Linked DNA regions of Rattus norvegicus. The protein of the gene in region 1 binds, or shares a complex with, the protein of each later gene. Links are inferred from orthologs where the notes say so. Each region holds a gene or a part of one and is shown in the gene's direction. Other genes may lie near its edges.

Region 1 (4,862 bases):
AGGACAATAGCAGATGGTCTTCATGGATAATTTGAGTCTGAAGGAGATGGTGGAAGAGGCAGTTGAATGGCAGTGGCCAAGAATTTTCCAGAATTAATGACATCAAACCAGGATGGATCTAAATCATGAGGACATGAGATAAGTCGTCCCTCTCCAAACAAACGAAAGAGGAAAACACCAGACATGGTTTATTCAGACTGCTGACCACTGAAGATAAAGACAGTGAGGGAAGAGAAGGAGTCATTACAGAGGGACAAATAATTACAGCAGAGCTCTTAAAAAACTCTGTGTGCGTCTGTCATTAATCTTAATTGAGTTTACTGCTGCACAGAGTATGGGATAAAAACCTCCTTTTCTGCTTGTAGGTTCAATTATTTTTCTGGCCCACTTTATTTTTTTCGTGTGGGTGTTTTGCATGCATGTATATCTGTATGCACTTACAGGAGACCCACAGAGGCCAGAACTGAAATTAAGAGCCACCATGCAGGTGCTCAGGAAGCCAACCAGGTCCTCTGGAGGAGTAGTTGGTGCTCCTAACTGCTGAGATATCTCTCCAGCCACACTTGCTCCCCAACCCAAGACACTATTAAAGAGACTTCGTTTCATTTTCTGTTTTTAACATCTTTATTAAAAATCAACTGAGATATTTATTTTAGTGGATGTTAAGACAATCCTCTCTGTACTCTGTGTTCTGTTTCATAGGTTGACATTTCTTTATTTTTAGGCTGCTTTGATTACTGTAGCTTTGCAATGCGGTTTGTGGTCGTGTTGTCTCTTGCCTCCAGCTCTGTTCCTTTTAGCTTAAGATTGCTGTCCTAGTCTTTTGTTAAGTTATGAAGCAAAGCGGCTTATTCAGAGGCTTTCTTGTTAGAATTCTGGGGTATAGGGTGTCAAGTGTTGAAGGTGTGGGAACACACTAAACAATAGCCAGACTAGCTGTGTGAACTTTGATTCTTGAAATAATGCATTAGTCGCTTGCATGTTTTCACATGCACATAGCCTTAGTCGCCATTTGTTTGTTTTAGATTGAAAGAATTTGGAAAAAAATTTATCTTTTTTTTTTTTTGCATGAGTATTTTGCCTGCATGTATGTTGGTGCTCTTAACTGCTGAGCAGGGCAGTGGAGGTCACATGGGTGTGAGAGCCCCCAGAACTTGAGTTAGAGATGGTTGTGAGCCACCTTGTAGGTGGGTGCTGGGAATCAAATCTTAGGTCCTCTTGAAGAACAGCCTTAACCACTGAGCCATCACATAGCTTGCAAATGAAGTATGTGACAGTCTGCAGGACGGCTAGGGGACTGGCAAGGATGGGAGGTGCATGTTGGTGTAGGGGTTGGCATCATAGTCAGGAGCTTTCCCTTTCTCGGCTTCCAGAATACACGCTGCAAGACTGCATCACAGGTGGGTGTGTGTGGGGAAGGCTTCAAGGCTGCTCATGAGCCTGGTCGGGAGAGCTGTCTTTAGGAGCAGAATTGAAAGCATAAAGGATTTTTGTTTTGTACATATCCAGTATGAGAATGAGATATCTAGGAGACACTTGCCTTTTTCCTTTGTTCATGGTAAGGAGTGTTCTCCTCTTCCTCTTCATCCTCTTCCTCTTCCTTCTCCTCCTCCTCAAGTGCTAACTGCCTCTTCCCTTTGAAGATGGGAGAAGCTTCAACTACAGCACCCTCCTCCAGCTAAATCATAAAACATAGAGCACACTGGTGGTCCTGTCAGACGCCTTCCAGGTCACATGACCTACTGGTGCTTCTTCCAGCTTTGACATACGTTTGCTCTGTGTCTGTGTCTGTCTCTTTCCTTCTTTTTTGAGACAATGTCTCACTATGTATCCTCATTGTTTGCCTGGAACTTGCTATGTTAGGTGGGGTTGGCCTTGAACTTGCGGAGGTCTGCCTGCTTTGCTTCCCAAGTGCCGGGGTTTAAGGTATTTCTTTGTTTTCTTAGTGAAATCTCAGACGTGTTAATTTAGGCCCAGGACATATAATCTTCAAGGTGAATTTTGATCGCCAGGATGTTATGGTTTATACAAATTTATGGAAAAATAACTGCTGTCTTCTTGGTATAGAGTTCCAGAAACTGTGGAGGAGTGTTACTGTGGATTCAATGGATGAGGAGAAAATTGAAGAGTATCTGAAGCGACAGGGTATTTCTTCCATGCAGGAATCTGGACCAAAGAAAGTGGTATGTAGTCTTTAGAAAAGCAGTTTGTCCTTTCTCTTAACAGTTAGCTGCTTCTCATCCTGCTCTCCAACTATTGAGGAAGTGATTCCCTTTGATGGAGACAGCACAGAAATTCACTGCCTCTTAATGACTCAATAAGTTGTGTTATGCTTTCGTGCCTGCCTGTTCTTTTCCAGTGGAGGTTTATAAAGCCTCGTGGTGTCAGAAGGCACCAGGTCTAGCTGGAGGCTGGGTATGTGCTGTGAAGGGGGTGTTTGAGGCTGGGCCTCCAAGCAAGAACCAGGGAAGGCTCAGAACCCTGTGCCTATGCTGCTGGTCTTTGGGCTTGTTGAGTAAATGTTAACCATCTGCCCCTAGGGTCACTTGTGTTTAACTGTCTTTACCTTGTCCTGCAGGCCTCTATTCAGAGAAGGAAAAAGCCTGCTTCACAGAAAAAGCGACGGTTTAAGACTCACAATGAACACTTGGCTGGAGTGCTGAAGGATTACTCGGACATTACCCCTGGCAAATAGGGAATATTTTTATCCATAAAGTTACAGACGCACAGTCAAGATCTTTCTTGATGCTCTCGGGATCTGAAGACTTTCTGCCTTCCCGTCTGCTCCTCAGGACTGAGGAGAGGAGCAATTCAGTTTACAGAACAGGAGCGGATTACCAAACTCATTATTTTCATCCAGCAGGCTAGTGGGACTGGGTGTTCCTGTTTAACTTTCTGGGTTTGTTTGTTTTATTTTACTAGAAAGACACTTAGCATGGCACTCAGGTGTCTGCTGTTTATCTTGATTTCTAAATGGTTCTGGATTCCATGTTTTCTCTTCTGCTTTAGAACAAGTTGGAAGATAGTGCTGAATACAGCCTTTGTTTATTCCAAGAGAAATATTTATAATAAAATCATTTGTAGGAAGATCTTTAAGAAGTTAGGAATTTCAGTTTGTCTCTTCTTGAAAATGGCAGGGAGCAGCTGCAGTCCCTGACTTGTCTGGATGGGTGTTTGGGATGTGACAGAGACTGGAGTCAGTACTGTTGGCACGCTTGAGGACTTGATCTTTGGAACACAGGGTATGCCTCTGGTCAATAAGCTGAGCAATAAAAGTACACTAAATATAATTGTTATGCTTTCTTTTAAAAGGCTAAGCAGTTAATACATTGGATTCATGATTTGCTACCACCTTGAACATGAATGGGGAAACTCTTCTTGCCAACCTGAACATTCGCTTCACCATAGCCCAGTTCTCACTTGAGAGATGTTCTGGCCATTTCTACTGAGGGGCCCTCTGTCATTTGTTACAGTCCAGTTCAATAAAAGCCATTACCAAGTATGGTGAATTTGTAGGGTTTTCCCTGTACTTTGAAGAAGGCATTTCTTTTTTTCTTTTTTTTTTTTGGTTCTTTTTTTTCGGAGCTGGGGACCAAACCTAGGGCCTTGCGCTTCCTAGGTAAGTGCTCTACCACTGAGCTAAATCCCCAGCCCCGAAGAAGGCATTTCTTACCTGCACTTTCCTCTTACGTGCCACGCTCCTTTGAGTTGATCAATCTCGGGTCTTATCTCACATATTAAATGATGTTAGGATATAAAAGCCAGGTTTGACATCCTCAGAAAAGGTGGGACTGTAACCCAAAGCACTGGACTCTGATGAATACTTCATTCATTGCTTTACCTTTTTTTTTTTTAACCTCTGAGCTCCAAAATACAATCTAAGAAGATGTCACATTGTGGTTTCCATATCAGTTAGAATATAAGGAATGTATTGTCTTACTTGGTGTCTCAAGGTTTTTGCTCATAGGATCTGTAATGCTTCCCCATAAATTTAGAATTCACTTACCTCTTAGCAGTACCTCCACTTGCAAACCATGTTCTCCAAGCTAGGTTATGGCCAAGGTCTGGAAGGGCAAGTCTGTCTGTCTTCCTGCTTCATCTGGCTTTATAAGGAAGGAGGCAGACCTGAGGCCTCCTGGACAGGTAGGTGCTCATATACATGCTTTACTGTCAGGTCTGTGCTGGTGATTTCTAGCTCAGCCTGCCCTTGTTTGTTTTCTTAGGGACTGGTCTAATAATTAATTCTATTTTTTACCTCACTCCACAGAAATGAAGAAACTAAATCTAGAAAAACTAGTATCTCATTGTCAAACTGTAAATTCTCTAATTTTGTTTCATTCGCTTGCATTGTCTTCCATGCCACTGTTCTCTTTGTTGTTCTCTGTGCTGAAGTACTAGACGGTATCACTGGGAGGTGTGTAGGGAATAGATAGTCTCCGTGGGAAGCTTAAGAGCTTGGTTGTGTTCAGTGGCTTTAATAGAAAAGAAAAGATTCTGGCAGCAGTTCTTCTGGGTGACTAGTCATTCCTCCAGAAATTTCAAGTTGAAGTCTTGGTCTCACCTCTGTCTGTTCGTGTCAGATCTGCTGCCATTTAGAAGCAGGTGGGAGAATCGAAAGGCCCAGGCAGTCTTCAGTGCATCTGATCTATAATTCATCCCAGTCACAAGAAGCTTTTAGGACTAGCTAAGGGAAATGTAGTTGAACTTAGATAAAGTATAAAAAAATGACCATTTGGCTGCTGCTGTCACAGCCTGTAAATGTGGTCAGATGATGGGTGGACCCAGGGGATGGAGAAACACTCAAGACTTGTTGATGTGAGTACTGGGAAAAAGCCGCGTTGGAACTTCAGTCCTGCTACTTC
Region 2 (6,338 bases), on another chromosome or scaffold:
ATTTGCTACAGTTCTGACCTGGAATTGGGCCTCTTCTTCAGTTCCTAACACCAGGCCTGGCCTTCTGGTGCCTTTTGCATTGCAGCTGTGTGTTTGAAAAATGAGACTCACATCCAAGGTTTCAAACCACAGAAACTTGGCATGACTCTGCCATGGTGTCACGGGCATCTTGATCATGTCTTGACCTTAGAACTGTTCTCTAGGAGTGGGGCATAGTGACGTATACCTGTATTCTCAGTACGCAGAAGACTGGAGAGCAGGATTGAGAGTTCAGAGGCAGGCTTGTCTATGTAGAGAATTACAAGCCTGCTTGAGCCACAGAGTGTGATCCTGTCGATCAAAATCCCCTGAGAAATATTCTTAGGGGCTCACAACCAAGGTCCAAAGGCAACACATAGTGGGGGCTCTTCCCCAGCACAGGGCAGACAGTGTGCTCACAGAGGTATTTGCCATTGGCCACTGCTCCTCTGGATCCCCTCAGAAAGCTGCCTCCCCTAGACAGGTGCCTTTTGGATGGTCATGCTGAACCTGGCATCACAGACACCAGTGTGCATTGCAGGATCATTAGTACATTTAGAGTCTGTAAAAATAATAAATATGTTTGAAACAATTTCTTATTGTTTTGTCTATACGGTGTCCATCTAGACAATGTTGAGTATCCAAGACCCCGACGGTAGACAGTAGTATATGGAAGAAGTCTGAGTTCTGACTGTGACACTTCCTTAAACCTACAGGGCCACCATGACAGCATTGCATCTCTGGGCCCAGGCAAGTGAGGGCAGTCCCAGGCCATGAGCTCCTTGTCTGCTCCTACTCTCTGACTACATGAGGGCAATCTTTAGCTTTCATAGTCCTCCAGCCTTTACACTGGCTGTTTCCTTTGTGCCCATGGTTTGCACTGCCTTCTGCTGTACTCCTGTTTAAATCAGCTGACGGGGAAAGCTGAGTTTCCGTTCTTGTCCACTGGACTTTCTGTCGGGCTCTTTTCGAACCTCTGATTTTTTTGTCTCGACGTCCCATAAAGTTACTGCCATGATTACAGTTCATCTTTTCTCTATCCTTTTTAGCATCCCTCTCACTCAGCAGACAAGTGGGACTCACAATTCCCAGGGATGGTGTGTACTGTGAGCAGGCCCCCTCTGTATGGGCATTGTTGGAGTATATGTTGGGGACCTTTGAGATGGCTCAGTGGGTGAGAGCATTTGCAGTCAGGCCTGGTGTCTTTCCACGCACATGATGTGTTGTACCGTCTCTCACACACACATGTATTTTGATTTTCATGTGTATGCGTTACAGCACTCTCTCTGACATCAGCTCGGGTGTGGGTCTTTTGTTGTTTGCTTCTTTGCGCACTATCTAACTGTCCTAAGAGCATACAGGGGATTCTTCTCTTCACCTTCCAACTCAAAGGAGCACTAAGATTACAGACTTTGGCATTACCATGCTGGCTGTTTTACGGGTTTTCTGAGAATTTGAACCTGTATCCTTGCACATCGAGTTTTCTGAGAATTTGAACCTGTATCCTTGCACATCGAGTTTTCTGAGAATTTGAACCTGTATCCTTGCACATTGGTGTTTTGGCTTTGACAGTGGGACCAGGGACTGTGGTGCGTACTTTACATATCAATGCAGAGCTGGCCCCTAGGTACTCCCAGCATCTTTCAGTCCCTACTTGTCATATTCTGCCCCCACCCTGAACTTTCCAGCTTAGAGGCTGGGTTGCCCTTCCTCAGAGGCTCTTCTCTTTCCTGTTTAATCCAGATACCTTGTGCTTTGTGCTCTCTCTCCTTTTCTCTCCCTCCCTCCCTCCCCGTCTCTCTCCCTCTCCCCTCTTTTCCCTCCCTGTCCTTCCCTTGGTGACTCCCCTGGCCTCCATTCTTGGGGGCCAGTGAACTTGCCTGAGAACAGCTTCCCAATAAACCTACCTTTTAATATGTTCTAGTTTGACTTGAATTGACTCATTTCTCTGGCAGAGAAATAACCTGTCAGTCGTTTTACACAATGAGCCACCTCCCTAGCCATTTTATTTATGTTTAGATGTACAGCTTCCATCTTTTAAAAGGCTTTATTGTATTCCTACACATTTAAAAATTATTCTTATGTATATGGGTGTTTTGCTTGCATGTATGCTTGTGCACCATTTGACTACCTGGTGCCCTCAGATGCCAGGAAAGAGATTCCTTAGAAACTGGAGCTAAAGATGTTAGACGTCATATGGATGCTGGGAATACAATCCAACTCTTAGGGAACAGCAGCCAGTGCTCTTATCTCCACATCCCCGTATGTACGTTTAACCAAGCCTCTATCAATTTTTTTTTTTGGTTCTTTTTTTCGGAGCTGGGGACCGAACCCAGGGCCTTGCGCTTCCTAGGAATTTTTATTATTATTTTTAGCAATTACAAATAACATTGGCGTGAATGACCCTGTCCGTGAAATTTTGTGCTGTGTATCTTGGGGATTTCAAGAGCATAGGACCAGTGCATGTAGCCAGTGTGGTTAGAAAACACAGGCCAGGAGTTCCGGCCTCCGGTCAGCAGGTGGCACTGCGCCCACGTCTAGCCGGAAGCGCCCGGGTGCCCCGCCGACAAACTGGTGGTCGCGCAGGCGCGCTGTGGGGCTGGCGCGGGAGACAGGCAGCCGGTCGTGATGCCGTACGCCAACCAGCCAACCGTGCGGATCACGGAACTCACTGAAGAGAACGTCAAGTTCATTATCGAGAACACGGACCTGGCGTAAGGAGGCGAGGGGAGAGGCGGGCGGCCGGGGCCTCGGGCTCCTGACCCCGGGGCTGTGTCTTCGGGGCCTCTCACGCTGCCTGCCTTTCCTCCTGTAGGGTGGCCAATTCCATTCGGAGGGTCTTCATCGCAGAGGTGCCCATAATAGGTAAGCGACCCTCCCTCGGAGCCGGTGCCGCCGTCCCTCCGCCCCGGGTGGGAGCTGAGAACACTGAGGAGGTGCACGCCGGGCTGCGGCTGCCTAGGCCCGCCTCGGTGCGTGCCTTGCTCGGCAGCGGGGATTCCAACTCTGTTCGTCTACCCAAAAGCAACAGAAATCAAGACTAAGCACTATTAAAACAGCCGAGGGCTGCAGCCTCCTCATCCGTAAGGTGACCCTAGGTTAGCGGGTGATACAGAGATTACTGAAGTAATGTAGATGGTGCGCTTTTGCTTTTTTTTTTTGGTTCTTTTTTTCGGAGCTGGGGACCGAACCCAGGGCCTTGCGCTTCCTAGGCAAGCACTCTACCGCTGAGCTAAATCCCCAGCCCCTGCGCTTTTGCTTTTAAGTCAGTGTTCGTTACTGGTTGGCGTCTTTTGAAAATGTCTGTTAATTTTACAAAATAACAGACTACGTAATGACATTTTTTAAATCTACACACAGAGTGATTTCTCCCGTCCTTCCGTCCTTCCAGATAGTACCCTGCTATACTTTCTTTTCTTCTCCCCCTATCTTCTTTAGAACATATTTATTTACATATATGTGTATATCTCTGGGCTCGAGAGTACCATAGTTCATGTGTGAAGGTCAGAGTACAGTTTGTGGGAGGGATTCTCTTCTCCCACCATGTGTGTCCCAGGGATTGACCTCGATAAGGCTTGACAACAAGTAAGTACCTTTATCCCGCTAAACCATCTTGTAGGCCCTGAACTCTCCTTTTATTTAAAAAGGGGAGGGGGAGGGAGGGAGGGAGGGAGGGAGGGAGAGAGAGAGAGAGAGAGAGAGAGAGAGAGCGCCCACATGAGAGAAAGCATGTGTGTTATTAAACTTTTCTTTTACAAACAGCATACTTTAGTTCTTTATGGTTGAAGTGTGTGTGAGTGAGAGACAGACAGATAAGACAGACTACAGGGTTTTTTGTATTTATTCTGGTGTCTTTTTTTTTTTTTTAATGAATTTCTTATTTCTGTAGATCATGTAAGTTTCCAGGTGAAGTCAAGAAATGAGCAAACATAACACAAGGCAAAATATGACAGCTGTCTTCAGGAGAGTCTAAACAGTTTTGTTTGTTTGTTGTTTGTTTTGAGAGAAAGGAAGGAGACCAAAAGAAGGGGATGGAGCATTTGTAGATACGCACACACAGGGTTTTTATACCGGGAGTTCCCACCAGGGGTTAAGGGATGGGGAGTAGATTAAGGGCATTGAGGGGGCCCTGGAAGTAAAGCGTCAGGAAGCCTCACCCTTGCTAGGGTTGAAGAAGCGCTGCAGGGAAGGGCAGGCTGGGCCTGTCCTCGCCTGGTCTTCTGACCTCTCTTCCTTGTGCCTATGGCAGCTGCTTGAGAACTGGGCTCCCACACCATTTGATTTCTGAACATCATTGTTTATGTGCAGGTGTTTGCTTATGGGCGATTAGGTACAGGTTTAAGTTAAGCTTCTGTGTGTGTACAGTCCCGTATGCCCAGCATTGAACTGAGAGGGGTTGGATTTATTGTTAGTGTGCTTTCCCTGTTGAAGCCATCCAGTGAACCATCCCTTGATGGGAGTAACACTGAAATTCTAAGTGGGCTCTCTGGTGATATCATAAATAAGGTGTGGGCCATGAACTTGTGATGTTTTACTTTTTACTCTTGAGATGTTTTCCCTAACTTGAAAATTTTTAAATTTTTTTTTTAATATTTATTTATTTTATGTATGTCAGTACACTGTTGCTGTCTTCAGACAAACCAGAAGAGGGCTCCAGATCCCATTACAGATGGTTATGAGCCACCATGTGGTTGCTGGGAATTGACCTCAGCACCTCTGGAAAAGCAGTCAGTGCTCTTAAGGGCTGAGCCATCTCTCCAGCCCTTTAAATTGTTTTTAACTGTCTCTGTGTGTAGGTGTTTACAGGTGAATGCAGGTGCCAGAGGTGCCCAGGAGTCTCAGATCCCCCTGAAGCTGGAGTTACAGGGGTTGTGAGCTACCTGACATGGGTGCCAGGAACCCTTCCCCCCCCCCTTTTTTTCAGAGCTGGGGACCGAACCCAGGGCCTTACGCTTGCTAGGCAAATGCTCTACCTCTGAGCTAAATCCCCAACCCTGCCAGGAACCTCTTAACCTCTGAGCCATTCCTCCAACCCATGTTTCCCTCAACTTTTAGGTGCCCAAATAGCTTTTATTCTTGGATTTGGTATTGGCACAGGTAGCTGGTTTAAAGTACTCAATTCCCTAAATATCTCTAAATTCTCTGAGGTAGGTAGGGGTGTATGTGTATCACTAACAAGGCCTATACCCAGTTCACTGGGGCAGGAAGATTATATATATGAAATGTGGAAGGCCTAAACCTGGAGCTAAACTTTGAAGCCTCTTACAGCCTAGTCTGGCCTGGTCTGGTCACCTTCAACTTTGTAAGCACTGACTTGATTCTTTCTTTTTTGTTTGTTTTGGTTTTTTTTGTTTTTGTTTTTGCTTTGGAGACACTGTTTTTCTTTTGTAGCCCTAGCTGTCCTGGAACTCAATTTGTAGACAAGGCTGGCCTCTGCCTCCCGAGTGCTGCTGGGCACTGAGTGATGTGAGACAGTGCTATAGGTCTGTAAATGAATCTGATGGCTAGTTCTCATTCGTCCTGTCTTGTTGCCGCCTTTTCCAGCCATTGACTGGGTTCAGATTGATGCCAACTCCTCGGTCCTTCATGATGAATTCATCGCGCACAGGCTTGGTGAGTGCCGGTGTTGAGGAAGAGATCAAAGTGGGATGCTCCCTGTCCCTAGCCTGCCTGACCTCTGAGGTTCTTGTGGTGGCTTGGCTGTTGGCTGTTCTGCAGAGCACTTTTCTGTGTCTTGCAGGTTTAATCCCCCTCACTAGTGATGACATTGTGGACAAGCTGCAGTACTCCCGGGTACGTGTGTTGGCAGATAGACAGGAAGCACAGGTCGGGGGAGGGGGGTCCAGTTCTCCCTGGGATCTTTCTGGGCATCTTCCTTCCAGCTGACTGTAGCATGCTCATTGTTGAGATGATGTCTTAGTAGTGTGGTCCTTGGTTCTGATGGGGCTTCACATTGCTCTCAGCACATCCAGGCATCATCACGGGCAGGTGTGGCGGCACATGCCTCTAGGCTCAGCTTGGGAAGCAGAGGCAGGTGGATCTGTTTGAGTTCCAGGACAGCCAGGGCTGTACAGAGAAACCCTGTCTCAAAACAACCAAAAGGGTGGGGGAACACAGCCACTTTTATGTGTGTGTATGTCTGCCTCTGTCTGTGAAGGTGGGCTAGGGTCAAAAGAGGGCATCGCTCGGAGCCCCTGGAGCTAGTTATAGGCAGTTGTGAACTACTGGGTGTTGCTCTGGCAGCTGAGCCGTAGTCACTTTTAACAGCCAGCCTCACACCCTTCATCCACTTATTGTTTCCATTTTTTGTGTTAGTTTTA

The links. The genes of interacting proteins can lie anywhere in the genome.
Region 2: Gtf2e2 (region 1) and Polr2c share a complex: the UniProt entries of both Homo sapiens proteins name them as parts of the TBP-based Pol II pre-initiation complex. The link is inferred for Rattus norvegicus from reciprocal best matches to the Homo sapiens genes GTF2E2 and POLR2C.

Annotation. Positions count from the first base shown.
Region 1 is NC_086034.1:65,100,814-65,105,675, reverse strand, and holds the end of Gtf2e2 (transcription initiation factor IIE subunit beta), read left to right. Parts: exon of another isoform or gene 1-2,067; coding exon 2,068-2,183; intron 2,184-2,578; coding exon 2,579-2,695; 3' UTR 2,696-3,290; downstream 3,291-4,862. UniProt on the Homo sapiens protein: Recruits TFIIH to the initiation complex and stimulates the RNA polymerase II C-terminal domain kinase and DNA-dependent ATPase activities of TFIIH. Both TFIIH and TFIIE are required for promoter clearance by RNA polymerase.
Region 2 is NC_086037.1:10,167,215-10,173,552, reverse strand, and holds the start of Polr2c (DNA-directed RNA polymerase II subunit RPB3), read left to right. Parts: upstream 1-2,622; 5' UTR 2,623-2,646; coding exon 2,647-2,732; intron 2,733-2,833; coding exon 2,834-2,883; intron 2,884-5,562; coding exon 5,563-5,631; intron 5,632-5,758; coding exon 5,759-5,811; intron 5,812-6,338. UniProt on the Homo sapiens protein: Core component of RNA polymerase II (Pol II), a DNA-dependent RNA polymerase which synthesizes mRNA precursors and many functional non-coding RNAs using the four ribonucleoside triphosphates as substrates.